Arabidopsis thaliana: one gene and its partners. The protein of the gene in region 1 interacts with the protein of each later gene in a pairwise test. Each region holds a gene or a part of one and is shown in the gene's direction. Other genes may lie near its edges. The genes, in order: AT1G17970, AT3G54390, AT4G33690 and AT3G09630.

The links.
Region 2: the proteins of AT1G17970 (region 1) and AT3G54390 interact in a two-hybrid assay, tested with the Arabidopsis thaliana proteins (one large-scale study listed by BioGRID).
Region 3: the proteins of AT1G17970 (region 1) and AT4G33690 interact in a two-hybrid assay, tested with the Arabidopsis thaliana proteins (one large-scale study listed by BioGRID).
Region 4: the proteins of AT1G17970 (region 1) and AT3G09630 interact in a two-hybrid assay, tested with the Arabidopsis thaliana proteins (one large-scale study listed by BioGRID).

What each region holds. Positions count from the first base shown.
Region 1 is NC_003070.9:6,181,736-6,190,032, forward strand, and holds AT1G17970 (RING/U-box superfamily protein), read left to right. Parts: upstream 1-2,981; 5' UTR 2,982-3,296; coding exon 3,297-3,869; intron 3,870-4,435; coding exon 4,436-4,600; coding exon of another isoform or gene 4,601-4,672; exon of another isoform or gene 4,673-4,924; coding exon 4,925-5,023; intron 5,024-5,108; coding exon 5,109-5,243; intron 5,244-5,332; coding exon 5,333-5,467; 3' UTR 5,468-5,738; downstream 5,739-8,297. Other genes in the region: AT1G17960 (Threonyl-tRNA synthetase), read right to left, coding at 1-179, 272-364, 446-538, 634-720, 811-843, 1,087-1,181, 1,238-1,310, 1,460-1,760 and 1 more; PAPS1 (poly(A) polymerase 1), read right to left, coding at 6,007-6,046, 6,145-6,212, 6,298-7,143, 7,234-7,398, 7,476-7,805, 7,892-7,954, 8,060-8,173.
Region 2 is NC_003074.8:20,135,780-20,142,789, reverse strand, and holds AT3G54390 (sequence-specific DNA binding transcription factor), read left to right. Parts: upstream 1-3,545; 5' UTR 3,546-3,792; coding exon 3,793-3,821; exon of another isoform or gene 3,822-3,907; coding exon 3,908-4,442; intron 4,443-4,503; coding exon 4,504-4,878; 3' UTR 4,879-5,052; downstream 5,053-7,010. Other genes in the region: AT3G54400 (Eukaryotic aspartyl protease family protein), read left to right, coding at 191-634, 1,432-1,909, 2,144-2,499; SAC3C (SAC3/GANP/Nin1/mts3/eIF-3 p25 family), read left to right, coding at 6,038-6,275, 6,545-6,645, 6,935-7,010.
Region 3 is NC_003075.7:16,171,330-16,178,419, forward strand, and holds AT4G33690 (G patch domain protein), read left to right. Parts: upstream 1-3,426; 5' UTR 3,427-3,608; intron 3,609-3,868; coding exon 3,869-4,037; intron 4,038-4,131; coding exon 4,132-4,414; intron 4,415-4,519; coding exon 4,520-4,808; 3' UTR 4,809-4,999; downstream 5,000-7,090. Other genes in the region: AT4G33670 (NAD(P)-linked oxidoreductase superfamily protein), read right to left, coding at 1-117; AGD2 (Pyridoxal phosphate (PLP)-dependent transferases superfamily protein), read right to left, coding at 518-811, 902-1,108, 1,184-1,504, 1,606-1,656, 1,742-1,846, 2,059-2,121, 2,406-2,522, 2,718-2,785 and 2 more; AT4G33700 (CBS domain protein (DUF21)), read right to left, coding at 5,218-5,262, 5,337-5,608, 5,688-5,803, 5,877-5,950, 6,077-6,164, 6,274-6,413, 6,500-6,586, 6,679-6,792 and 1 more.
Region 4 is NC_003074.8:2,950,545-2,957,897, forward strand, and holds AT3G09630 (Ribosomal protein L4/L1 family), read left to right. Parts: upstream 1-3,148; 5' UTR 3,149-3,268; coding exon 3,269-4,375; intron 4,376-4,786; coding exon 4,787-4,900; 3' UTR 4,901-5,194; downstream 5,195-7,353. Other genes in the region: AT3G09620 (P-loop containing nucleoside triphosphate hydrolases superfamily protein), read right to left, coding at 1-1,664; APX2 (ascorbate peroxidase 2), read left to right, coding at 5,757-5,878, 5,980-6,154, 6,506-6,571, 6,714-6,762, 6,843-6,925, 7,002-7,081, 7,173-7,275.

The sequences.
Region 1 (8,297 bases):
ACTATGGCCTGGCGGGGACTAAGCCAGAAGGGCCAAATTCCTTTGTAATGTTCCAACAATATGGCAAACATACGCTCAATAGATCCCAACACCGCACTATGTATCATCACAGGTGCCTCCATTTCGTTTTTTTCACTTAGGTATTTCAGTTTGAAGCAAGCCGGAAGTTGAAAATCAAGCTGGTACGAAGCAAATAAGGATCAAAATCTTATTGTAAGAGATCAAGAACAAAAAACAGAGGAAAAAACTAAAAAGAGTTTGGGAGCCTAACCTGTATAGTAGCACACTGGAATTTCCTATTCCTGGCATCAGACACTGTTATGTCTATCTTTGGGCCATAAAATGCACCGTCTCCTTCCTTTATCTTCAGAAAACATCACACTTTAGAATCTCTCTATGAATTATAAAGTTTTGAGTAGAAGCATCAGAAAGTAGTGACACATACAACCCATGGCTTTCCAAAATCATCTAGAGCTTTTTCAAGATCATTTTCAGCTTTAGCCCATGTTTCCAAATCTCCAATGTGATCCTTTGGCCTCTGAAGTCGAAACCAACATGCAAACAATGAGATACGTGACCATACCATGCAAAGTATATTAGGTTTGGCAGAGAAGAAATGTGAAAATATCCTACCGTTGAAAGCGTTAGTTCATAGGTAAACCCAAATATTCTGTAAACATAGTCAATGAAATCCAACACACCCTTCACTTCTTCCTCAACCTGCAAATAGATAAGAATATTTCTATAAAATAAGAAACTGGGAGGATAAGGAGCTCCAACGTTGCTGCATAAGAAACAAATATCACAAACCTGATCCACTCTACAGAATATGTGTGCATCATCCTGAAAACAAGTATGCACAATGTTATTTAATTAAGCAACACGCGCACAAAAGGGTTAAAATCAAATTGACAAACTACTAAGTAAAGTAAAGTAAAGGGGTAACTTCTTCACTTCAACATGGCAAATAAGCTGCTTAACTAATCATGATATCATTTTGAATGTCGCTAGTCTTTATATAAAGCAATCAATTTTTAAGTTTTAAACATTTTACCACAAGAAAAGTCCAGAAAGATGCAAACATACCTGTACAAACCGTCGGACACGGGTCATTCCACCAAGTGCTCCACTGTCCTCATTTCGGTGTAACACTCCAAATTCGGCCATTCTAATGGGTAATTCTACATTCCATACCGCAAAACAAAAAAGATGTCAGCAAAAGATATATATGCAACACTTGCTTCGATGTTTGGAAAATGATTGTCGTTTAATCCCAGCTCGCCATAATAAAGTGAATCGTAATAGAAGCCCTGCAATAACAATTACCATCAGAGATAGCCCGTCTTTGCAACATTACAGATGAAATACCAAGAACCAAACAATATTGACTCCTCCTTTTTTTACTCTTTTAGCCAAAGAAACATAATTAAGGGGAAAAAACACAGAACAAAGCTCTTACTTCATCTCTGGGTTCGCAGGGTCCAATACATAGCTTGCATCCATACTCCTGCTCGAGAGCCTGGCCTAGAATGTGGGCGCTAGAATGCCAGAAAGTATTACGGCCTTGGTCGCTGTCAAATCCGAAAATCTCTAAGGAACAATCACCTTCCAGGGGCCTATTCATGTCCCACAAGACATGATTAACCGAAGAAACCAGAGCAGATTTTGCTAAACCCTTAGAAATCTGCACTGCGATGTCCATTGGAGAGGTCTCCCATCTCCTTCCTTCTTTCTCGATACCGTCGGGGAGAAGAGTAATCCTAAGCAGTGAAACAAAAACCAGAAATCAACTAATTGCAAAACCCTAGCTTAGCAAACAAATTGATGCACCCTAGTGAAAATGATGAACAATTAATCATAAACGTATTTACTTGATTGGATCGTGTGGCCGAGATTGAAGCTGCTCAAGCTGCTCGGCTTGGATTTCCTCGAAGAGCCTGATACGCTTGGGGATGACGGATGAGAGATAAGCCTCATCCTTGGGATGATGATTATTCGCCATCGATGGATGAGCAGAGAACGAAGGACAAATAGAAACTATAGAATATAGAAGATGACGTTGAGAGCAGAGGAGTAGATTATCCCAAGGTCAACTTCCCTTTTATAGCTACAACACTAAAGTGACTTGCGGGCCAAGCTTTAGAGCTTTTCCTTTCATTTTTTGTAATAAGGTAATAACAACAAGTGGCAGATGCACCTAACTTTACATAATTTCCTTTTGTATTTAAATAATTTTCTACAATATTTATAATTTCTTTTCAATTGAATTGTAGTTTTGTTGATAAAATGCAAATTAAAAGTATATGTATATAACCTATTTTGGCGTGACTTTCTTTGATTTAATGTTTCACATTTATATTTGTTGCATTCTCAATAATATCCAAATGACCATTATTAGGCCTATTAATGTGGAAGCTATAAAATCAGTTTGAAGTGGGCTTATTATTTGTAGTTTTGGGCTCTTAAAAGCCTATTAATGATGAAGCTAGAATCAGTTTTGCAACGTTCTCGGATGGTTTCGTGTTACAAAAATGTAGTCGGGTTCGATTTGGTTGAACCGGGTCTGGTAGACAATAATGTAATATTGGAAAGGAAAACGGTTCAGGCTTCGTGGCGATGAGCATCAACCATCAAGGCTTTGCTGGATGTCTTCAAAGCTCAAGAGTGCCAACTTTATGTATACGAGGATTGTTCAAATATTAAAACCAACCAAAGAAGTGGTCTTTTGATGTTTAAGCTTATCGTAGGATGTTTCAGCTGGACTTTGTGTCTCTTCTTTATCTCTACCAAAATAATATCTAATCACTCTCTCTCTTTTTATTTATTTAACAAGATTGTTTCGACTTAAAAGAGTCATGTAGTGACTGACACCTTTCCTATTTTTACAAGCAAGCATCATTTTAAAAATTTTAAAATTTACTTTTCTGGAATAGAAAAACCAAAAATAAGCAAAATCATTAAACTAAATTGCCCAAAAAAAGTTAAAAACCCAGAGAAATACTCAAATTAACCTAAACAATATCTCTTATAAAATCATTATTTCTAATTTGGTAGTATTCACAAAAGATATGCATGAGCTGATTTTGTTTGGAATCTCATACTAATGGTTGCATGTAAAAACAAAAACTAAAAAATCTTTAATAGTATTATATAGGAAAAGCTATAATCATTATACAAAAACTGTATCATCATCATCATCAAGCTTGAAATCACTCTCTTTCATCCTTCCCCGCGCACTGTGTCTCGCTCTCTCTCTCCCACATTTCCATTATCTCCTTTACTTTCTTTCTTTGAGAATGTCTTCTACAACAATCGGCGAGCACATCAGACTCCGACGAGCTAGAAACCAAACAATCCGTCATCTCCACGCCGCCGACGATGATCCGCCGCTAAGCCACGTCGTTCTTCCGATTTCACAACCTAATCGCTTCTGTAACTCCGCAATGTCTTCCTTCTTTCCCCTCCCGACTTCCTCCTCCAACGAAAGCACGAGGAAGAAACCGTACCAAACGTCGTCGTTTCGAGGGATGGGTTGCTATGCCGCAGCAGCAGCAGCAGCTCAAGAGGTTTCTGTTCCCTCCGTCATTCGCTACTCCGCGGATTTGGATGCCAGAATTAGAAAAGATAAGAAGAAGAAGAAGCATAAGCATAAGAAAAAGAAAAAGAAGAATAAAGGAAGCTACGAAGATGGTTCGATTAGGATTTTAAGCGAAGAAGCTAGAGACGTTATTGATGTTTGGTGCAGACCTGGATTAGGCTTCTCCACGGATGCTGTAATTGGTCGATCGGTTGATCCTCCTCGGGGAAGGAATATTCCGTCGTCTCGTCGCAAAATTGATGTGGATAACAACAATTATAATCACACACTGGTAAATTGATCTAAAGTTGGATGATGAATTTAGTGTTATTATGTTATTGACTTTGACTTTGAGGAAATGGTATCGTTTAGGCAGAAACTGTGTGGAGTGGTTGGAGCTCTAGTGGTTGTAGTTAGCTCTATGCCAATTGCTGGGCCATTGTTAGTTTGGTTTGGTTTATTAATATATGTGTTTGGATTCTCGTTTAGACAAATCATAAGGGTCTACTTTAGATGTAGCGGTTCTCTATTATTAGTTTTTGTTTCATGTGAGGATAATATAGAAAATTTCTTTGTTTGACGTGCGGGTGGTTCTTTTGGGTTTGATGCTCAATAAACTAATCGAACTCTGGTTTGGTTAGAGAATGGAATCTTATCATGCTTTTGTCTCGTTTAGCTAGAGGATGGAATCTTAGCATTGTTTAAGTTTCTTTTTGGTTGGATTCAATTGGTTAGGGGAGTTGTTGGATTTATTTTGATCAAAGAAACGCATTGCTTCAGAGGACTTGAAAATTAGGAATCTATCATCATGTCTAAGTGTTTGAGAAATGATAACACAATGCTACAAATGTTCTGCAGGGTTCTTCTGTTCTTCCCATTCGGTTTCTCAATCAAGAAACTCATTCTCATGATATCTTCAACTCTGATTCTACTTTTGTGACATCATCACGCGCTGAACCAACGATGTTGTCAAGTAGATGTCGTGGCCATCTTCCACGCTCTTACCCTGATGATCTTACCGAGGTAGAATGTTCTTGCCAAATAGTTGCCTTGTCTTTCTTGCATCTGGTAAATGTTATAGATTTGACTTCTTAGTTTATTAACTGATCACACTCAACACTATGTTAAGGTTTGACTTGTCACTTGGCTTCATATCAACTAAGAGATTATTCTAGAGTTGTCTCTTACATATTCTAGTGACTGATAGAGTGGAAGACAAATAATGTAATCGTTCTCTTTGGTGCTGTATGGTGCTGTAAAACTGTTTTGGATGGCTAATAGCAAGTGAGCAAGTTAAAGAACTAAACCATGCAGCTAGTGTAGTCATGTTCCTGCTGTTCACTGCAGATGAGGATGCTCCAGAATGGTTTTGTAATGGGAAGAATAACAGATTCCCGTGATAACTACCACGAATTGAGGCTCGATGTTGATAGCATGTCATACGAGGTATGTTTTTCAAAATCTCATGAGAAAAACACTTGCAATCTCATCTTCTCAACTTTATCGAGTGTGTTTGCTTTGGTCTACGCAGCAACTTCTTGAGCTTGGTGATAGAATTGGTTATGTGAATACTGGACTAAAAGAAAGCGAGATACATCGTTGTCTTGGGAAAATCAAACCATCCGTATCACATACTCTTGTTGATAGAAAATGTAGCATCTGTCAGGTAAACTCCAGATTGAGTCAATGGCTTCTCGAAACTTCAGACAGATCATGAGTTTCATAATGCTATTCCTTATTGTTTGATGGTGACAGGATGAGTATGAGAGAGAGGATGAGGTTGGGGAATTGAACTGTGGACACAGCTTTCATGTCCATTGCGTGAAACAATGGCTTTCGAGGAAGAATGCTTGTCCGGTCTGTAAGAAGGCAGCATATGGCAAGCCTTAAAAGACTTTTGTATCTCGTCGGGTTTCTGATAGCTCAAGATCTTTCAAGCCACCTTGCTGTATAGAGATCTGTATCATCTGATACTTGATTCATATTTGTTGTTTTTGCATTTAGCAATCACAATTTTTTTTTTTTAAGATCTTATATTCTTTGTTGGGTCTATTTATGTGATTGAAATCAAGAGTTTGAAATCTATGTTTTCTGTTGCCTAGGTAGATTTAAGACAGGTAGAGAGTAATTTAGCATATAGCATACACGCACGTAACTAAGAATCAATGTTTTAACGTTTGAGTCTGCATTTATATATATATGTGAAGTAAACTCAACCCAGACTTTTATTTATGACAGAAAAAGTGTTTGGGATCCATAGACAAGAACACATTACATTAATCTTATCCAAACGAGTTTTACATGAGATCATGCAACATCTAAGAAAAGCATATAAATATAAGACATAAAGTAACAAGAACCCCTCAACTTAACATCTCGAATTTCCGTAAGTGCTCTGAGATTCTTGGCAATGTAGGGAAAAGCCATTATTACTTGCCATTGGTTTTGCCTAGAGACGTGAAGCTCAATCTGCGAATAATCAGACAAACAAAAACAAACAATCTTTGTCAAAATCCAAAAATGTATATTCAAACGTTAAGAGTAAACATAGACACAAAATCACTTACTTGATTATCGGTTTTCGCTGTTGTACTGAAGGTCTATGTGCCGCATCGGGCTGTCGCGTGGGAAGAACCTTTCAACAAAAGAGAAATCAGACAGGAGGAATAAGATCAAGAGAACAATTTATGTATCGAAAATTGATAAGAAAAATAAGAAACCTCAAGTTCTTCCACTGCTTCATAAGGGAAAGGAGAGCCATTTGAAGTAGCTTCGAATGGAGGTATAGTTGCAGTAGCAGACAGGACTGCAACTTTATGAGATATCTGCTCAATCACTTGGTTTCCAAAATCAAAACTTTCTTCAAGCTCCTCAGTTTCATGAGCTTGAGGAGTGGCTATCTTTTCTATCGGAAGACTCTCTGGTGGATCCTTACTGAAAGCAACAACATTTTCTGGTGGATCCTTACTAATAGGCTCAGATTTACCGTTTGTACAATAATCTTTCATAGGACTTGAACAAATTGATCCAACAGATGGATTTGGACTCCCGCCTTCACAATTCTCTACAGGCACTGAAACAGCAATGTGTTTAGAGTTCCTTGGCTGATCGGTGAGTGTTTCACTATCTCCCCATTTTCTCTTCTTCCCATCAACTGGACTGTTAGAACCAGCTTTACTTTCAGAACTCATTTCGGTAGTAGTGGTAGTAGCAGCTGGTGCACTTGATGTAGAAGAATTTCTGTGCTCTGAACGGCGATTGCTGTCCCATGTTCCTTTAGAGGTATGTGAAGGTCTAACTCCACCAGGAAACACAAAATTAGGTAAGCTTCTCCGTTTTATATGGCCAACACTAATCTCCATCCCTGGAATCCACAATGTGTAAGCGTTGACAGTGTGTTTAAACTCCTCAACGGTTCTTCTGATATCGAATTGCTCGCCTTCTGCTGCTGGAACTCCTTGTTTACGTTGCAGACCCATGAAGTAAGAGCAATGGAGTGGCCGGGATGTGTCTTGAAAATCATGGGGATGAGGGTGGCAATGAAGCATTTTAAAATGTCTCTCGATCTAAGATTACAATGCAAACATCCAAGACAAATCATTAGCAAAGCAAAATCAAGAGAAACTATTCAAGTTAAAGTAAACATGGCTTTTCACCTTCAGTGTGAGCTGGCGGAGGCGTGACTCAACCCAGCCTTTCCATTTTCTTAGATCATCGACATTTGCAGCAGAAATGTCTATCTGTAGATAGTTTTTATACGCTTCAAAGAATGCAAATGGCTCAAAAAGGGTATCCCAGTCAGCTTTGTTTGATTCCATAGCCTGCAAGACATCAAGCCGTTGTAATAAGTCCATGAATCTGCATAGAAGCCAACTATTTGGACTTATCGAAATCTTACCTCACATATTTCGTTTCCTCTCTGAAACTCTCCTTTCATAATCCGCAATGTACTTTCAGAGACATTGTAACTAGAGTTCATACAAGGATAAGCAGGAGTAATGATGGGCATTATATGCAACCGATCCTTTGGGTTTATTCTAGGATCCCAAACTTGAAGACCAAGGGATCCTTCATCCGGAGAACAAAGAAAAATGGCGTTCGGCCAATTCCATTGATAGAAGACCCTAAAGAACCGAGACACTAAAATATTAGGGAGGGCGTTAGGATAAAGTTGACATATCCGAGCTACAAGCAATGCCCAGTTTATACCACCAAGAAATCCCGAGACCTAGCAATTGTCAGAAAGATACTTTACTTAAGCAACATGATAGTCACATAAAAAATAGAAGAGCATTATAGAAGAATTCTCCATACATTAGAGTATACTCCACGTCGTTTGGCCCAAAATCTCATGCATCTTAATGTTGTTCTGAAATTCTGCTCAGAAACAAAGAAAAAAACATGTACTCAGGCTAAGCAAATCATATGGATGAGTAATTAAATTTTAGAAGATAAGAGATTTATGGTCAGTGAGCACGAAACCTGAATGTTTGGAACCAGACGCAAGATTTGGTCAGTAACTCTACAACCGTTGAGACTTCGAACAGTTTGCTCATCAGCATTCTGTAGAATGGAGTCCTGTGATAAATCTAAGTCCTGCACCATTAACATCAGGCAGGGAACACATTTAAGCCTCCATAAGAGGAACAGGACCAGAGCTCCAGGTTCAGATTACCTATTTTCTACGAGATCCACTCATAACATTCATTTAAATTCATGA
Region 2 (7,010 bases), on another chromosome or scaffold:
AGAAACAACGAAAAAATAGGAGATGGAATACAGACTGTTCTCTCTACGATATACAAAACCCCACTCTTCATTTTTATATTCTTATTACTTTCTACACACTCATCGTATATCACTCACTATATAAACACACACTCACACATTCACTCTACAAACACTAGAAACCACAAAGACAAAATCAAGGTCTTAAACAATGAGATCCCATCTCTTGATTTTGTTAATCTCTCTCTTAATCTTGAAATCTGAATCCATAAACTGCAATGAAAAGAGCCATTCCTCAGATCTAAGAGTGTTCCACATTAACAGTCTATGTTCTCCATTCAAAACTTCTGTTTCATGGGCAGATACACTTCTTCAAGATAAGGCTCGTTTCCTATACTTGTCAAGCCTCGCTGGCGTTAGGAAATCATCAGTTCCAATCGCCTCTGGTCGGGCCATCGTTCAGAGCCCGACTTACATCGTGAGGGCTAACATCGGGACACCGGCTCAGCCCATGCTCGTGGCTCTTGACACTAGCAATGACGCTGCTTGGATTCCTTGTTCTGGCTGCGTTGGCTGTTCTTCCTCTGTTCTCTTTGACCCTTCCAAGTCAAGCTCCTCTCGTACTCTTCAATGCGAAGCTCCTCAGTGTAAACAGGTAACTAAATATTGCTTTATAGTTATACCCTCCGTATAAATTAGATATGTGCATGCATTCTCTGGATGGACTTGAAAAATGAAAACTATACTCAACGTAATTTTTTTGAATCATATCATACATTCATACTTAACGATACTTTTGTACTGAATAAACCGGGAAAATCGATATACAAAAAATACATTTAAATTATACTAACAAATAATTCGCATTTTTACTTTGTTCAAAACAAGATCTAATCAGAACATACATAAATGTTTCAAATCGAAAGAAAAAAAATGGTTAGTATTTGGACTTGATTATTTTTAACAAAACAAGAAATTTAAAACCAAAACCGAAATACGAACCGAATGTCAGGCGTAATGTGAATGCCTCTACGTCAATTTTTGGATCCATCTACACAAAAGATGTGAATGTGAACTTCGTTTTTGGCGTGTTATTACACCATGATCGAGAAGTCTAGTCACGGGTTTTGGACCTTTTGGTACCATGAGTCTAAGTCACGGGTATATTATTATTTATACAAGAAATTTATAAACAATCCAACTAGTAGAGCATATTTTACTGTTTGAACTTTGATCTATATATATACTTTGTCGTCATGCTAGTTAGGTTTTGCCTATAATACAAAAACGCCACTTACAACTGCAATTAAATAACGTAACACATCGTTAGTAGCGCAATTTAATAACCAGATCCAAGATGGATAAAACAATTCTTTATGGAAATACGTTGTTAAACTCAAAGAACAAAAAAAATTCTAAATATTAATCAATAAAGAGTTTTTTTTATTGCAGGCTCCAAATCCAAGTTGCACAGTAAGCAAATCATGTGGTTTCAACATGACCTACGGTGGTTCAACCATCGAAGCATATCTGACACAAGACACACTAACATTGGCCAGTGACGTCATCCCAAACTACACCTTTGGGTGCATCAACAAAGCTAGTGGAACATCGTTGCCAGCGCAAGGACTCATGGGCTTAGGTCGTGGTCCATTGTCTTTAATCTCACAGTCACAAAATCTTTATCAGTCTACATTCTCGTATTGCTTGCCTAATAGTAAGTCCAGCAATTTCTCCGGATCACTAAGATTGGGACCTAAGAACCAACCGATCCGGATCAAGACCACTCCATTGTTAAAGAACCCTAGAAGATCATCGCTTTACTATGTTAACTTGGTTGGGATTCGTGTCGGAAACAAAATTGTGGATATTCCTACAAGTGCACTCGCCTTTGATCCGGCCACCGGAGCCGGCACCATCTTTGACTCGGGTATGGACTTCTCAACCCTCCTTAATATTTTTTATTTTTCGCTTGAGAACTGAAAAGTCGTGCGATGGAAGTAACCTAATTGCTCTGCTCTCTCACACGTAACACGTGATATTTCTGGACTAAAAATGATTTTACAATCAAAACAAAAATGGCCAATCCAAATTTTCATATAAAAATTATATTTTAGAAAAGAAATTTGATTTTTAATTACAAAACACTTTTGAATGTACGCAGGGACGGTCTACACAAGGCTAGTCGAACCAGCTTACGTGGCGGTGAGAAACGAGTTCAGGAGACGTGTTAAGAACGCAAACGCAACTTCACTAGGAGGTTTCGACACATGCTACTCCGGCTCCGTCGTGTTCCCGTCGGTGACGTTTATGTTCGCCGGAATGAACGTGACTCTGCCTCCAGACAACCTTCTCATCCACAGCTCCGCAGGTAACCTCAGCTGCCTCGCCATGGCTGCAGCTCCGGTCAACGTTAACTCTGTCCTTAACGTCATCGCTAGTATGCAGCAACAGAACCACCGAGTTCTCATCGACGTTCCAAATTCCAGGCTCGGAATTTCCCGTGAAACTTGCACCTAAGTTTTATCGATTTGTATTTTTGTTTTCGGTCGATTTCGTAATGCGTTTTGAACTTTTGAATTTTGGAAACTATATAAGTTAATGATTTTTGTTAATTCTCAAACGATTGTAAAATCTTTCGTATGATTTTCTTTCGATGTTCTCTGTTCAAAAAGGATTGTACTCATGAATTTGCGGATGCAATAAGCCTGGAACAGAGGACCTTTATTATTTTAAATATATATATGTTCCAACTTCCAAGTATAATCATATGCATCAACTTCATGAGAAAGTACCAAAATGTCAACAAAAAATGATTATGCCTTGGAAGGCATTTTCATCACCCAAATGAGACTGAGAAGTTCTAAATGGCGCGTTAAAAATCTACGATGATAATCTTGTAGACCCCAAAATGTCCGATGTGCTGCCTTGAAGTTGCATAGTTCATCATACTCCACTAACGAGGAAACACATTCACTCTTACAACAAAACTTCTCTCATATAGGTAAGAAAAAAGGTGTGAAAATTAAAGACTTGTCCTAATATTTGGTACTTGTAATATTTGGATGACTTGATAATTAACCAAAGATTTTAGTGAACACTAACCCACAAAATTTCTGAATGTTTTGAAAGATATACACTTTCAATAAGTGAAAAAGGAACAACCCCGAATTAGTATCTTTGCGCAAACATGAGAGAAGAAAAAGAGTGGAACATAGAATGGGTGAGAGAGTGACAAGTGTAAACCCCACTTCCATTAGGTTCATTCCCATCTTTGCCAAATGGATTTTGCGGTTTGGCTTGACATCAACGCTAACAGCCAGACTCACTCCACCATACACCTAAAAAGAGAAAAAAAGCATACAAAAAGGCTTTTATAGCTAAATGAATAAAAGCATTTGCATCAGAAGATTTTTGAAATCATTATTGTGAAAAAATAAAATCAAAAGTAAAACCTTTTTTCAAGTTGACAAATAAAAGAAAAGAAACCCTATTTTTCAATGGTAACCCACTTTCTCACATTTTTCTCTTTATTCTCCTCTATAGTATGTGTGTGTGACGGGTTGCTCCACTAACTTTTGTGAAGGTAAGTATAAAGCCGGTGCAATTATGCGTTTCTCTGTTTGTATTTGTAATCTTTATACAAACCATAAATTGGAACAAAGACTAAAATGACAGTAACAATATAAGTGAAAAACATAATTTCATTAGCTTTAAGTCACGAGGCACGACCATTGAACATGCGAGAAACGCGTGTACCCAAACTCATTGGTTAGTTTTGAGAGCAGCAGCGTATTCTTACACAGTTCTCATATGTTTAACTCCATTCACTCTCTCAAAAGGTTCCCATCTTTATCAAAAGACTTGCTAAAATCTTCTCTTTCTTTCTCCTTTCATCACACTCTTGAGTCCTTGTCTCTGTTTTTAGTCACCTGAAGAAAAAATATATGGAGAACGGAGAATCTAACCAAGAAAATCTCAAATCTCTCAACCACGACGAATCGCTTAAGAAGCCATCTGCTTCCTCCGTCGTTGTAGATAGGTTAAAACGTGATGAATGGAGCGAAGGAGCTGTTTCGACTTTACTCGAAGCTTATGAGTCAAAATGGGTTCTCAGAAACAGAGCCAAGCTTAAGGGACAAGACTGGGAAGACGTGGCTAAACACGTGTCCTCACGCGCCACTCACACCAAGTCACCAAAGACTCAGACTCAGTGCAAGAACAAGATCGAGTCCATGAAGAAACGGTACCGTTCTGAGTCCGCTACTGCTGATGGCTCCTCTTGGCCTCTTTATCCTCGTCTTGATCATCTCCTACGTGGAACTCAGCCTCAGCCTCAGCCTCAAGCTGTTCTGCCTCTGAATTGCTCTGTTCCTCTGCTCTTACTTGAGCCGCCGTTGCCTGCGGTGGCTCATCCGCCGCAGATTTCTTACGGATCCAACGGCGTCGGCAAGATTCCTAAGGTCTGATCACCTAAACTAACCAAATTTGGGAGATTTTCTAATGAAGTTATTTTGTGTGTAGGAAGACGGATTCAAGCCGGAGAACAAACCGGAAAAAGATGCGGAGATGGATACAGACAGTAGTACGCCTGTGGTTAAAACGAAGGTGAGAGGGAAGAAAGTGAAGAGAAGATATAAAGAAGAGAAGGAAGAGATCGCCGGAAGTATACGGTGGTTAGCGGAGGTGGTGATGAGATCAGAGAGAGCAAGAATGGAGACGATGAAAGAGATAGAGAGAATGAGAGCTGAAGCTGAAGCTAAGAGAGGAGAATTGGATTTGAAACGGACGGAGATAATGGCGAATACTCAGCTAGAGATTGCTAGAATCTTTGCTGCTGCAGCTTCTTCTGGACAGAACAAAGGTGTTGATTCTTCATTAAGGATCGGAAGAAATTGAGTTCTGCTTTTTATATTGGAGACTCAAGATGTTGTGTGTACATACCAAGTGTTGTTTTGTCAAAATTTCTCAGAGAGAGACCAATAATTGTTTCCTGGGGTAGATGGCGATTTCCACATTTCTACCAGCAAATGTATGCTTTTGCCATATGAATATCATCAATCTTTAGTCAAAGAGATGCTAATACTGTCTCAAATTTGTGTGTGTTTAAGTGTTTTAACTCTTCAGGTAGAGATTTACAGAGAATGCTTGGTAGATAGTTCGGTTCGATCAGTTTGGTCGTGTTAGAGATTGTAGTGAAAGAGAAAATAAGTCTTAGCAAAAGAATGCGAGACAACTGTCTAGTATTAGTGGAGATGAACCAGCTTTTTCTCTTTGCATTTCTAATATGGAGTTTTTTTTGGATGGGAAATTGCACTATGATAGTATGATTAGTGGTTCTAGTCTATGTGTTTTGAATGTTAGCAGTTAGATTCTTGTTAGGGATAGTTGATGAAAAGAAACCTAAATTTGTAGTGGTGGACACATTGTTCTCTGCTGTCTAGAGAGTGGCCGTGACTACTAGACCCACCAACCGGCCTAAGCTTGCCTGTATAGGGGTGGGAAAAAATAGAATAACACCAAAAATGAAATGCTCAAATGACAAAATCAAAATTGATTTCCTTCAAATATATCTAACTAGACTATTGTTTGTAAAAAAACAAAACAGAACCGAATCGTAATTGCACAAATGACTAAACCATATATTCTTCCCAAAAAAAAAAGACCAAACCGTATACGAAAGGTTTGATTTGGTATCGATTTAAAAAGAAAATCTGCAAAACCGGAAAGAAAAACAAAACAAAACTTAAAATCAAATTTTCCAAAACTATATATGTAAATTACAAAGTGTAGGGAAATGTGAAATGTTCTAGATTCTTACTTGAGTTGAATTTTGAATGCTGCATTTGTAGAAATGCAAATTTGTGTACAAGTCAGAACCGGTGTAAATTAAATTGACCCGGTTGCCGCCAGATTTAATTCGCTGAGAGTACTGTACCGGATTTGGTTCTCTTCCGGTTTATTCCAAATAATAGTTCGGTAACAGCTTTGATTGGTTCGTTTCTTCAGAGTCTGGTTTGGGACTTGGGAGGGAAGAAGATCTCGTTCCCTCTAAGCCATGAATCGTCGTAATCGTGGCTCTTCTTCTTCTTCTTCTAGGGTTTCGAATACTTATGGGAACCGCCAGTTCTCTGATAACCCGAGGACTGGATCCGGCGGCGGAGTTAATGAATCCTTTCAGAGAAGATCCGATGCACCGCACAAACGAAACAATGAAAAAGACGAATCAAAACATAAAGACGAAGATCCTGCTGACGTTTCATTGATTGTAGGAACTTGTTCTTCTATGTGCCCAGGTAATCATCGAACTACGTTAGCTGCAGATAAATTACCAATTGACCTGAGATTCCGCTAAAATTCAACCCTATCCTGCACCTGAATTGGATTTGATCTAGTTCTTAGGTCAATTAGGTACTTTCCCTTCATCAATTCATGATCCTTCCGTGCATCGGCAGTTCAGAACAAAGAATTATCTTTTGCTAGGGGTTTAGGTAAAAAATTACACTTGAAGTACCAAAAAGAGTGTGTACAGCTTCATCTAATATGTTGTTTTTGGTATCAATAGAGAGGGAAAGAGTCACAAGAGAACGCCTGCGTGATCTTGCAGTGTTTGAGAGGCTTTATGGAAACCCCTCAAAATCATCCACAGAGATAGCTGTCAAAAAGGTGCGGTTCACATTGTACAGCTTTGAGTTTTCATGTCTCTGGTGCTAATGTGGGAAACTTTCACCTTCAGCTTTCTATATTTGACATGTCGTATCTATTCTTCGAGAGAACTTGTTATTGAAAGAAATTTGATGTTGAAATTCTTCATCTATGCAAATTAGAATCCATAACTTATTGGTCAAGATGAATAGTTTGTACTACTTATTGGGAGATACCAGCTGCTATGCAATGAGGTTCATTTTTTTCCAATACCAACGGCATTTATACTCTCTTTCTGTGTTCTTGCTAGTTTTGCAGAACCCTTTCAGCGGCGGATGTTCAGGCATCGGATGTAAGACCGCTCCCAGTTTTAGAAGAAACCCTGA
Region 3 (7,090 bases), on another chromosome or scaffold:
GACGGCATCATCTTCGGCGACTGGACCGAAGACACTTCCGAGCGGAGAGGCACCAAAACCAACGGCGCTAACCTTAAGCCCTGTGTTCCCCAAAGCTCGAAGCTCTATTTTCGTCATTGTTGATAGGATCAACAAAAAAACTGGTTCTCGTTGATGAGAGACGCGAGAAGACAACACTTGTGTTGTGTTTTTGGATATTTTTGCCCACACGGTGGCTCAACAAGCCTAAATTACGAAAACACCCATCCCGGTCCAATTTTAGATTTATTTAACCAATCCAATTTTATATTTTTTTGACGTTCTTCCTCAGTCCAATTTAAATATTTTATTTTCCACACTAGTTCACTTATTTGCACTTTGATTTCGTTGTTAAAATACTTTGCCAAATTGCTTGAAACACTGGTGTCAAAAGTGTCTTCTACAAATTCCAGAAAACAATGGAAACGACATTATTTTAACTCAAATCATGTCATTAAAGAGGGTGATGATGATGAGGAACGATTACAAACAAGGTTCTTCATTTGTAAAGCTGCTTGAATCTTCGACATGCCTCTAAGATGTTCTCTCTGTGACCAAAGGCACTGACACGAACGAACCCTTCACCCCCTGGTCCAAACCCACTTCCTGGAGTTGTAACCACATGAGTCTTCTCCAGAATCTCAGCAAACACATCCCATGAGCTTTGGTTCGGGAAGTGAACCCATACGTAAGGCGCATTCTTTCCTCCATATACATCATACCCGAGAGATGTGAATGTGTCAATGATTATGTTTGTGTTTTCTTTATAGAATCCAATCACCTTATGCATTGCCTGCAATGATTCAAAAGACAACAAAATAAATCATTTTGCATATCTGAACTAGTGGGAACTGGTTTGAGATCTCTCTTTAGCTAAGCTAACCTCAAGTCCTTCGGGTGTAAGGCAAGCAAGAGCACCAGCTTGAGAGATATTAGATGCACCATTGAAACAAGTGCAGATAATCCGATTGAAGTCTTTGGCAACAGGGAAACCGTCTGAATAGAGTAGCTTTTTCGGGATGACAGTCCAACCAAGTCGAACTCCAGTGAAACCAGCATATTTGCTGAACGAAGCTGTCTCCATAGCGACCTGTAAGCGGTTGTACACATGAAGAAAGATGTTGAAAAATGGACCTTTTAATGTTATAATCAATCAGTCTATTACCTCCTCTGCTCCAGGGATTTCGAAGATGGATCGTGGGTTATCATCAGACATGTACATTGCATAGGCGGAATCATACACTATTATAGAACCGTTCTTCTTTGCAAACTCAACTAACTGCGTTAGTTGCTCTCTCGTGGCAGCAGCACCCGTAGGGTTATTTGGGGAACAGAAGAAAATTATATCTGTCCTGCCAACGGTGGACAAGTCGGGAAAGAAGCCATTCTCTGGAGTGCATCTCATGTACTCGATGTTTCCATACTTTTGCACATCAGTGTTAAATTGCCCAGTCTGACCCATAATAACACTGGAGTCCACATAAGCCTGTATAATCCAAAAAAAACGAGACAGCATAGTTCCACGTTAAAATGGAGCAAAAGTAGAGAAGACTACAACTGCAATTTGGTTTCTATATGCCCAATTACCGGATATGAAGGATCCTGAACAGCAATTGTAACATTGGAACCAAACATAACCTGCAAGAAGTGGAATCAAGAAACAGCTGTTCATATTTCTTAATCTTGTATCAATTACAGATGAATAGTCAGCAATAAAACAAACCTGGAGACGTGAGATATCACATTTAGCTCCATCAGAAACAAAAACGTCATCATCCCCTATGCCAAGGCCACCGTAGAATGTTTTCGCAATAGCAGCTCTCAGTGGCTTTTCACATATGTGAAATCAAGGTTAGTTTGGATAAAAACTTAACAGATTAAGCTTTAAGATTTTACATGTAAGAAACAGGTTTAAATCCATCTTCTCTTGAATTTAGCAGCAGTTCAAGACTATCCATAATAAAATTGAAGTGACGTGCAAAGGCAGATAATAAAGAAATGATAACAACGCAATAAGGTGGAAATGAAGGGTGCACTGACCTTTGCACCTTGTTCAGCACCATAACCACTATATCCCTCTATTGTTGACAACTCATGAGCTTTCTGTCAGAGAAAAAAAACATGATTAATCTCTAGAGATTACATGCCTGTGTGAATAGTATAGCAAACAAAAAAACTATGCTACCAGAATAATTTTCATTGTTAGATTACAGAGAAGTTCTCGTTTAATAATCCAAATACGCCAAAACAGAAAATATGTTATACATTTTTGTCAAAATGAACGAAATAATACATGTTAGGGCAGTGTTAGTAAAATCAGTTTAAAATATGCTAGAGCCCAGAGAAGGGCAAAGAGCACATGAAGCTAAGTTAAGATAAGGAGGTACCTTTGCCATAGCAGAAGTGATCACTTCAGGAATTGGCTCAGTTGTGTCGCCTATTCCAAGACTTATAACTTGTGCATCTGGATATTTCAACAAGTGTGCAGACCTTCTTCTTGCAATCTGTTTGCATCCACACAAAAAAATAAGAGAGAGGAGCATTATATACAGAATCAATGAGGATATATTAACTTATTACACAGATAGTTATAATATTTCAGATCACTAGAAGCTTTCAAAAATGTTAACTTGAAATGCCACTCCTTTAGGTATTTGAAATCTTAAATAGTAGTACCAAGAGAGTAACAGGTAACAAACCTCCGGGAATAGGTATCCAGCCTGAAGTTTGGACATGTTTGAATTCCGTGACACTTTGGTCTTATACTCTACATACAGAAAACAAAATCATGTATTGTAAGAAACAGATAAACAGCTAAAAGACGATAAATCATTAACTATGTTACTAATCATTACAGCAAAAACAACATGGAGTAGGAACATTACCGATCTTCTCTTGCGGCGTAGCAACACATTTGCAAGTATTGACCCGTTTTGCCATGGGTAAGCAAGCATTTCGAGTTCTGAAGCCAAAAAGGAAAGCAAACCAATAAAAAAATGAATCAATGATCATCACAAGCAAATGCACTGTTCTCTGGCCAAACAACACCATCCAACATCGACTTAAAAACCAAAGGATTGAAATTTCCAAGTAAATTCATAACATACAATTAATTTCTGGAAATGAATCCAATTTCATATTCATCCTCACTAGATTATATCAGTAGCAAACAGAGAGTAAAAGAAAACAAAACGACGCACCTGAGATTAAAATTTGAAGGGGCTAAGAAAGTGGATGAGGAAGAAGAGATCATCGAAGAAACTAACTGATGGGTCGACGACATTTTTCCTGCTTCGCACAAAGATTTTTTCAGACAAATTTGCAGAGCAAATGAACCATGGGAGATAGTTGGTGAGACTGATAAAACTAGGGTTCTTCTTCGGTTTGGTCTGAGAGGAAATTAATCCGGTTTGTTCCGGTTCGGTTTTACTAGAAATTTTTGGGAATTTTCCAATTCAGTTCAATTTATTTATTTCTCTCTCTGGCTCGGACAATGATTTTGCTCTGCGCCTGCTGGAAAACGCCGAGGAATCGCACGATTTCGTGAAGCTGCTACTAGATATCTGTATCTGAGTCAATTCGATTTCGTGGTAATTAATCTCGACCAATAGGGTTCTCCAAAAATCCCCTTTTCGATTGTTGTGTGTTTACGTAATTTTGTTTGTTTTGCTTCGTTGATTTCGTTGTCGAAAGAACGTAGCTTTAGTGGAAGTTCTGTGATTAAGAAGCAATGATTTAGATAGCTGTAGTGGTCGAATTAAGTTCAACTCCATCTTTGTTTGATCTACCCAGATTGATTTGATCACATAACTTGATTAGGCTTATACTTTTTTGTTTTACCTTGGAGTAGATGGATCTGGAAACTGAAAATCGAATAGCTTCCATTCTTTTAAGAGAAGCAGCAGAATTGAGGAGACAAGCTGAGAAAGATGGCGTCAGAGCATATCTTGAGAAGCCTAATGTAAGGCATCGACCTAACTCTAGATTTCTCACTGCTACAGTTCTTGGTGTTCAGCAAGGTATAATCTTTTGTTGACAGACTTTGCTTCTATCCAACAAAATCTAGTTTTTTTTTAGTTTATCTCTTATTTGTTTCTTCTTTATTCCATTCAGCAAACAAAGCTGTGGAAACCAATGAGATGTGGAGTCTTCGGAGTAAAGAGATTGAGTTTGGTGAAAGGCTCAAAAGAAAATCAAGAGATGAGAGCAGCAATGGTCAAAGTGAGCAGAACAATAGGAGGGATTTTTTAAAGAGATGTACTTCAGTTGATGAGAATGTTACTACTACTAGTTTATCACCATCATCAAGCCGGAGCAGAAGCAAAAGATGGCAATCAGAGGATGATGATGATGAAGGCTTAGGAGATGTCGAGGTTAAGACTTTTCTCCAATCAAGGTATTTCCATTATACTCAGATGCTGCCTGATTATTTCCTTTACAATAATGATCGAATTTGGGATCGGCTTTTGCTGATAAAACTTGTGATTCTGGTCTATGATAGGGTCAAGCGTGGCAGAGGTTCTGTTGGTGCTATGATGGATGAACCGCTACCCTGTCTTCCTGAGAGGGAATTGTCAAGAACTTCTGATACAGGAGATCGGAAGCTAGTGATTCAGCCAGAGCGATCACCTTTATTGAGACGTAGGACAGATTCTTCTTCTTCCGACGAGGAGGAAGTTTACAAACGGGCTCATAGAAAGAGAAAGGAGCATAAGAAGAAACTTAGTAAGAAACACAAGTCAAAAGAGAAGAAAAGGGATAGGAAGAAGAGAAAATATGGTAGGGACTAGATCTTTCCGGACAAAAGTAATTGCCTTTTTACACCGGCAGTGATGTTGTATCCATAAGATGATCATATTTCATTAATTCTTGTATTAGTAAAATGCGAATAAAAACTCTTTGAAGTAAGGTAGAGAGTGACATATCTTAGAGACTAATGATATATAGGTAGTAGAGACAACTATTGGTGTGGCCTATGAGGGTTCAGATTTGGTAAAACTCTTTGAAGAAAGGAGAGAGCGACATATCTTAGAGACCAATGATATATATATAGAGAGAAAACATCTTGAAACCATAGAAAAAGTTGTTGTTCATGCCTACATTGATACACATTCGCCGGACAAGTGACAGTTTGAAAGTTGAAAACAAAGACTAAAGTTTTCGACATTCATAACCAGTTCAGTGGTCATGCACTCTGTGTTAGGAGTCTTCAAAATGGTGATCAGTTTCGTCAAAGATCTCCTCCTGCAACCACAAGCCAAGCAATAATTAATCCGTGAAAAAGAATTTTTGTTTTTAACTTATATAAGATTCCTTACCTGCAGAAGTTCTTCAATGACATCCTCCATCGTAATGATTCCGACTGCTTCTTCTTCCTCAGCAAGTTTAGGCAGCGGATTGCCATTCAATTGCAGGATGTCTGCATCATTGTCTTTTGACCACTTCTTGCTCTTTGACCCTCCTTTAAACGAACTTGCTCGATTCGGAAAGCTCTTCCACTTTTGAAGCGATCTTTTTGTCCTTAACATTCTCTCCTGAGGAGTAGGAGTTCCCTCACTATCCACATCCACTCGGGCTTCCTTAACACTCCCTATTAGAAACCAAAGCAAAGATTCTCAATACTTGTAACTCAGCAAGACATTGTTTTGTCGATTAATGAAGCAGTTTACCATTTTTAGAAGGTAATGGGTGGATTTTGTCACACTGTCTTACAACAACAGCCATGTGGCTGAGTCCTTTCTGGAATTCGTTCAATATGTCATATAAAGGCAAGATTTCTGGAACTCTAAAACAAAGCAAGAAATCAGCTTTTGAAGCACATTCAGTGGGGCTTAGTTACTTAGATTTGGAAGTTTCACCTTGGAATCCTTCTTATCGTGACATTCTTGACAGGTATTTCTTCATCTGGGTTGATAGTTAATAAGTTCTTCACCTGAAGATAATAGATATGAATGGTTAGAAGTGGAACCATAACACTAAAGAGGAAAATATTTGTGAAAAATGACTTCACAGAGAAGCGAGTCAAATTGTGGAAGTAATGCATGAGACTGGGAGTTACCAGAACAAGGCCGATTATGTTAGTTGGCTGCTCATAGTATACTGGAACTCTGCTATGCCCTTTCTCAAGAATCAAGTTCATCAAGTCTCTATACCAGAGGAACAAAGAAAAGAAAAGTGTTTAGCATGAGAAGTATAAAGACTCCAGGCAAGTGTGTTTCTGATAAGTTAGGTCTCCAAGGAATCACAACACAAAACCTGTCTAGTTTGGCATTGATATCAATCACAAAGATATCCGATATTGGTGTCATTGCATCTTTGACCATTTTCTCAGAGAGTTCAAGAGCTCCTGCAATGATTGTCGTTTCGTCATGAGTCAACTCCCCACCCTTTCCAGCCTGAAAGAAACAATACACTAAACATCATGACATAGATAGAAGGGGTACATAAACTTTTCAATATGGAAGATGGGATCAATGCATACCTCATTTCCATGAAAATCCACAAGTGTTTTCAGCTCAGCTCTTCGAAAAAGCGCTGCACGACGATGACCCAATAGAAAGTCCAGCAACTGGATTATTCAAAGGAGCAAAAATTTATTATAACAACGAGCATGATTGGTGGGGGCACTGGCTCCTACGGAAATCGGTAAAGTGTTTTTACCTTGCTTATTGGCCATGCAACAGGTAAGCAGATAAAGACTAGGACACGGACAAACGGAGCCACTGTTGCACCAATCGCTAAACCATAACGTGAACAAATCGACTGAGGTATAATCTGCAGTTGCAGTAAAGCCAACCATCAATGTTAGTATCCTGATTTGCATGCATTCACATCTGATATACAGGAAAGTGACTCAAAATGCTCATAGTCGTTTCCCTTATTGAATATTACAGGAAATGCTAATCTTACCTCACCAAAGAGAAGAATCAATGTAACTGAAATCAAAATGGCACCCCATGCCGTCACAAGGCCATCAAGAAAAATAGGAAGCGTCTGAAAAGATAAATCATCACTATCATCAAACACCATTCCTGAAACCTATAAATAATCACAGAGGCTAAGATTCAGTTTT
Region 4 (7,353 bases), on another chromosome or scaffold:
TCATCCATTACCAAATATGTGACCCTTCGTAGATTGGTAATTTTTCCACTGCTTGTGCAAAGAATATCGATCATTCTTCCAGGAGTACAAACAACAATCTCGGTACCTCGCTTAAGCTCACTGATTTGCTGGGCAACTCCAGATCCTCCATACACAGGCACACATATTATACCCAATGCCTTAGAAAACTTTCTGATATCGCTGTAAATCTGCTGAACAAGTTCTCTAGTAGGTGCCATTACAAGCCCAATCGGCCCATCACCAGCTTCAACGGGAGGCTGATCTTTGATATGCCTCAACATAGGCAAAACAAAGCCAAGGGTTTTACCTGACCCGGTTTTGGCAACCCCAATGCAGTCTCTACCGCTCATGATGATTGGAAGTGCTTGTGCTTGGATAGGCATTGGCTTTTCATAGTTAAGCTTCTTCAGAGTATCCAAAATTTTGCTAGTTAATCCAGTCTGGTGCCAAAATTGAATGGGTCTTGGAACATCTTTCCCATGAACTTTCAGCTCCAATTCCTTTCTATAAGCGTTCACTGCATCCTGTGTCATCCTTGAGATATCCTTGACTTCGATATAAAAATTCTTCCGGAAAGGTTCATACTCTATTTTGGAGTGGTCAACAAGAGACAATTTCTCTGCTTTTGTCTTCTTAACTCTCTTCATAAACTCCTCGTCGTCTTCGTCTAAACTTGGATCATCATCACTCTTTGGTTCTGAGTAATCTGAATCAGAATCTTCACCTTGAATTATCCTACCAAGGGCGGCCTTATTAAAACCTTTTTTGGCTTGGTCACCAGTTTCCTTCCCATTCATTTTAAAATCCAAAATACCATCGATCACAATATTGCTAAGCTTTTCAACCTCAGGTAATACCATAGTATTCATAAAAGCATCTAAGGGATCAATTTCGTCTTCATCTGCAGCTCTGTCACCTCCATTCTCAGAGACAGTAACAGCTGTCTCATTCTCCGAGGCGACCATCTTGGCATCTCCACCATTTTCGAGTTTAGTATCACGATCAACATCCATCTCTGAGTCTGATTTAACTTCATCATCAGATTCACCATCAAGAGTCCAAGCCTTACCGGTCTCAGGACCCTTACTTTCAATTTGAGCTTCCTCGTTTTGCCTCTTCAACTCTTGCCACTCCTGGACTCTTCTCCTCCGTTTTTCTACTTCCTCAGCCAACTGCTTCTGCTCATCCTCTACTTGTTCATCCCGAGTTTTCTTCTCAACATCGTCATCTCCATGCCTGCTACGCTCCGTTCTTTTGCGTTTCAAGCCACACTTGACATCATCACTCTCTTCATTACAATCCTCACGTGACCTCTCCTTTTTCTGTTTCTTCCTACCCTTTTCTTTCTCACGTTCTCTCCTCTCTCTGTCCCTTTTCAGATATTTTCCTCTATCTCTGTCACGTTCTCGGCGTCCTCTTCCCTTGTCCTCCCCTCTGCGTTTACTATCCCTCTCGTATTCTTCTTCTTCAAAATCGCTACTTTTTCTATCCCTCCGTATCCGTATCCTCTCCTCTTCCTCAGAATCGCATCTCTTAACTCTCGAGCGCATCTCCGTCGTATCTCGCCGACCATTCTCTTTCTTACTGCGATCACGATCTTTGCGATCATTTTCCTTCCTGGACTTAGATTTCTCTAACATCATCTCAAACGCAACAAATCCCGATAGAAAATTCCGTAACTTAAACCCAAATTCAAATCAAATTCATCCGCCAAACAAAAGCTTCAACGATAACCCTAAAAATGTTGCGGTGAAGAAGACAAAGCTACCAGAAGAATCAAAACTCTCTACACCGTAACGTTGTAACGTCTCGTTAGTGTCGAGTAACAGAGATAATAAAGCTGTAAGGTTGGGCCCTTATTGGTAAAAGATAAAAGTGAAAACCAGTTATTGGGCTATTTGGGCTTTAGTTAGGTCCACTATTAATCGATATTTTCCTCATGGGCTTCTAAACAACATCGCAAGGTTATTCTATTCAAAATAATTATTCATTTCGTTGATTTCATCTCATGAATGATTTCCTATTATTTATAGTTCATTCCCCAAACCACTCGCATCACAGGCGCGTTGAGCACGTGAGGCTAAAATCCATGGACTATATAACCTTCCTTTTTGGGGATTTTTTGCATAAATTAAAAACTGAGAGGACCTGCAGCGCGTGGGTTGGGATTTCATTTGTTGTGACTACAATTTTTTTTTTTTTTCCCCCAAAGGTCTTTCTGTTTATTGACTTTTTATCATAAGATAAAACGTTACAAAATGGGTTAAACCTATCTAGGTGATTACAAAATTTCAAAAATTGAAACTAAAAAGGCCTAACCCCAATAAAAGGATATCAAACCCAACTTGAAGAGAGGCATTGAAAGCTAAAAGGACTGGACCAAAAACCCAAACGACTACAGTATTCACATGAAAATATAACCAAACGAAAAGAACTATTACCGTGTTTTATCTTTTGCTCAGATTATGGTCCGAAAATATTGTTATCGATTCTTGATTTAGATTAAAAATGAGATAAAACTGTAAAGATTTTCTGAATATTTTGAGGTGTGCATTTTAATAGAAAACGAAGCCGATAGTGAATACACCGAGTTTGATAACTTCACCAAATGACTCGGTGGCAGTGCTAATCAGTAATATCTCACCTGCTTAGGAGCACTTCCATATTTAGGAAAAGAATATGATTTGAAATATTTTGCCATTCAAGATCGAGACTAAAGATTATTTGAACTATAAAGCAAATTTTCACTCTTTAACGCTCCATTTCGTACATTACTTTGATCATTTTTCTTTTTATCTATTTTTTTCGTCGACCGTTTTCTTTGACGATGTTTGTTATATGATTCTAAAAGCATCCACAATGGTAGACTCTTAGCAAAACTCTTAACAAATATTTAAAAAATTATATAATTTAAATATTAGATAAATCTCTTAAATTTGGTAAAACTTAGGTCAATTGTCTCTTAGTTAAGAGACAAATAGTCGGGTTTTATTAGGCCCACTAGTTCGTTAAAGGCTAAAGCAGTGCCCGGTTCTTATAGCGGAGGTAACTTTAAATATTGGGCCCTTACTGAAAGGTAAATTAGTTGGGTTTATTGGGCTTTATTATAAGGCCCACTAATTCAGCAGTAACCCTAACGAAACCCTAGCATATATTAGTTCTTAAACTTCAGCTGAGAGAAAACCCTAATTTCTCAAAGAGTCTAAAGAGACGGAGAGTGAGAGAAGAGAGAAACATTTCGAGACAAATGGCCGCCGCCGCTGCTCGTCCTCTCGTCACCATCCAAACCTTGGATGGTGACATGTCCACCGATCAATCCTCCACCGTCGTACTTCCCGACGTCATGACGGCGCCAGTTCGACCAGACATCGTTAACTTCGTTCACGCCCAAATCTCCAACAACAGCCGTCAGCCATACGCCGTATCGAAGAAGGCCGGTCACCAGACCTCCGCCGAGTCCTGGGGAACCGGACGTGCCGTGTCTCGTATCCCTCGTGTTCCCGGTGGTGGTACTCACCGTGCTGGTCAAGCTGCGTTCGGTAACATGTGTCGTGGTGGTCGTATGTTCGCTCCAACCAAGATCTGGCGCCGCTGGCACCGTCGTGTCAATGTCAACATGAAGCGTCACGCAATCGTCTCAGCTATCGCTGCAACTGCTGTTCCTGCGCTTGTGATGGCTCGTGGTCACAAGATCGAGAATGTTCCTGAGATGCCTCTTGTTGTGAGTGACTCCGCCGAAGCTGTGGAGAAGACCTCAGCTGCGATCAAGGTTTTGAAACAGATCGGTGCTTATGATGATGCTGAGAAGGCAAAGAACAGCATTGGAATCCGTCCTGGTAAAGGTAAAATGAGGAACCGTCGTTACATTTCTAGGAAAGGTCCTCTGGTGGTTTATGGAACTGAAGGATCTAAGATAGTTAAGGCGTTTAGAAACCTTCCTGGTGTTGAGCTTTGTCATGTGGAGAGGCTTAATTTGTTGAAGCTTGCTCCTGGTGGTCACCTTGGTCGGTTTGTGATCTGGACCAAGTCTGCCTTTGAGAAGCTTGAGTCTATCTATGGTTCGTTTGAGAAGCCATCAGAGAAGAAGAAGGGGTATGTGCTTCCTCGTGCAAAGATGGTGAATGCTGATCTTGCCAGGATTATCAATTCAGATGAGATTCAGAGTGTTGTGAATCCGATCAAGAAGGATGCGAAGAGGGCTGTTCTTAAGAAGAATCCATTGAAGAATCTCAATGTGATGTTGAAGTTGAATCCTTATGCTAAGACCGCGAAGAGGATGTCACTGTTAGCTGAAGCACAGAGAGTTAAGGCTAAGAAGGAGAAGCTCGCCAAGAAGAGGAAAACCGTTACCAAGGTAATCTCAATACTTGACTTGTTCTCTTATCAACCGTTTTTGGATTGTCTTTGTTTAGTTACTGATTACATTTTGATCTGTGGTTGCATTTCATTTGACTTAACTTATATTGCAATTGTTCTAATTGACTGAGTTTGTGTATGTTAAGCTATACAATAATCTGTTCCCCTCTGGTTTAGTCTATGACTATAGTAGTCTTTCTTTACTAGATCTTACCTTTTCTGTTCTGAATTGTGGTCTAGTAGTTTGTCTTGTAAATCTGTTGTGTACGATTCTTTGTCTTGATATTGATTTTAGGTTGAGCTATTAAGCAATTGAATCTCTTAGCACTTTCTTGTCCCTTGTGAAAATTGTTCTTCATATGTCCTCTTTTCTAACTCCACTTTGAAATATCTATTTTTCTTACATCAGGAGGAGGCGTTGGCAATCAAAGCAGCAGGCAAGTCGTGGTACAAGACTATGATCTCCGACAGTGATTACACCGAGTTTGATAACTTCACCAAATGGCTCGGTGCTAGCCAGTAATAATCTCGTCTGCTTTGGAACACTTTCCATATTTTAGTCAAAAGATTTTGGTTTTTTTAATCTGTTTTGTCTTTGGGTGTCTGGATATCAAGTTGAATTATGAACAAGTTTCACTTTTTTACATCTCCATTTCTTACTTCGCCTTTATCAGTTTCATTTATTTATCTCTTGCTCCTTCGTTTCCTATGATGATGCTTGTTATGTTATGAACCTACTTAAAAACAAGCTGAAGCTTTCTTTGGTTTACCCCAGCAGAAACATTAATCAAGTTCAATTGATCAATATGTCGATTGATTTACTGTTTAAAGGCATAGTGTGTCTATCAACCCTTAAGTCTTTTTGGTGGATAGTGAAGCTCAAACCCAATTCAAATGTCGATCAACCCTAACGTTTTTGTGCTCGATAGTAAAGCATGAGTATAAAAAGAACGTCGCTTCTTCCTACAATCACACAGATCATTTGAAGCTTTGATTAGTTGGTACAACATACTCGAGGAATACAGAATGACACGTGGTGTGTATCTGTTGGATAAATTTGTATTATTCTTCTTTACTATGGATGGTTTCTGGAAGGCGCGCCAAGAGTCCTTCTTTTTCCATCTACAAATCATGACCGTCCATCTCCAAAAGAAGACTGAAACAGTGAAACTAGAAGCTTCATTTTGATCATCAGCCAGTTTTATAAATTGATCCGTATACTAAAGTAACAACTACTAGCACTTTCTTCTGTGATCGATCATTGTGTTTAAACTAAAGGTTTGTATGTTCTTGTAATCTTATTGATCTCGATAGGTTCTCCATTCTCTTTAGGTTTTAAAGCCTTCAACGATTTCCAGAAGGAAGCGAATTTGAAAAAAATGGTGAAGAAGAGTTACCCGGAAGTGAAAGAAGAGTACAAGAAAGCTGTTCAGAGATGCAAGAGGAAGCTCCGTGGTCTTATTGCCGAGAAGCACTGTGCTCCCATCGTCCTCCGTCTTGCGTAAGATCCTCTCTCTGGTTCCAGTCTTTTCTGTTACTGTGAGTACTGAGTTGTTCGATTGATGGCTTCTCAGAGCATATTTTGTTGGCGGAAATTTGCAGATGGCACTCGGCTGGGACATTTGATGTGAAGACGAAGACAGGAGGACCGTTTGGGACGATAAGGCATCCCCAAGAGCTAGCCCATGATGCCAACAATGGTCTTGATATTGCCGTTAGGCTTCTTGACCCTATCAAGGAGCTGTTCCCTATTCTGTCATATGCTGACTTCTACCAGGTAAATTTTCAACAATGTACTGAGTTTTTTGACCTCTAATTGTGAAGCAAGGGATGCATCAAGCTGTAGTAAGTAGGAACTTGAGGTAGAACCATAGAATCAAGGGTTTTTTGATGCATCAGTGATTATACCGAGAGGGGAAACATTTGGAAGGGATTTTGTTGGTTGGTACAGCTAAGTTATGACTTAAAATGGGTTCTTCTCTAGCTTGAGCCGTCGGCTATTGGCCCTCTGGTTTGTCTGCAGTGAACTAGATTCACACATGTTAGATTGATACTGAATCTAAAAGCTTACTTTGTATTTCGCATGGCTTTAAGGGCTTGATTCATCTGTGTTTCTTGGTTACTGTAGCTAGCTGGAGTAGTTGCTGTTGAGATCACTGGAGGACCAGAGATTCCATTTCATCCTGGTAGACTGGTGAGTCAATATTCAACTTCTCAGTTTTCTGGCTACCAATTATTAGCTATCTCTTCGTTTTAAAACGCAACTCACTGATGATGAGACACCACTGCTAAGTTTTTTGTTCATGTGATTAACTGAACCAAACTTCATCTTTCAGGACAAAGTTGAGCCACCTCCTGAAGGTCGTCTGCCTCAGGCCACCAAAGGTAAAGCAGATATATGAAAATGAATTTAGCTTGAATTCAGGTATCAGATTGTAGATACATGTTCATAATCATAAATTCAGGTGTGGATCATCTAAGAGATGTGTTTGGTCGGATGGGACTCAATGACAAAGATATCGTTGCATTGTCTGGTGGACACACCTTGGTATGTATGCTGCATCCAGAAACAAAGACCTATGTGCTTTTCTCAGTTCTGGCTCACACCATTCTTTTACTTTCAGGGTCGGTGCCACAAGGAGCGTTCAGGATTCGAGGGTGCATGGACACCAAACCCGCTCATTTTTGACAACTCCTATTTCAAGTAAGATCAGATTCTCTGCTTCTGCTTGCTCATACTTGAATTGGACATGAGCTGAATTAGAAGCTCTTGAATCTTGATGGTTGTTAAACAGAGAGATACTAAGCGGAGAGAAAGAAGGACTTCTTCAACTACCAACCGACAAGGCTCTTCTTGATGATCCTCTCTTTCTCCCATTTGTTGAAAAATATGCTGCAGTAAGTTGTTCAACTCATCATTCCATGATTCTCTCAGCATACATATATTGTCAATAGGATAATATCACTGACTGGATT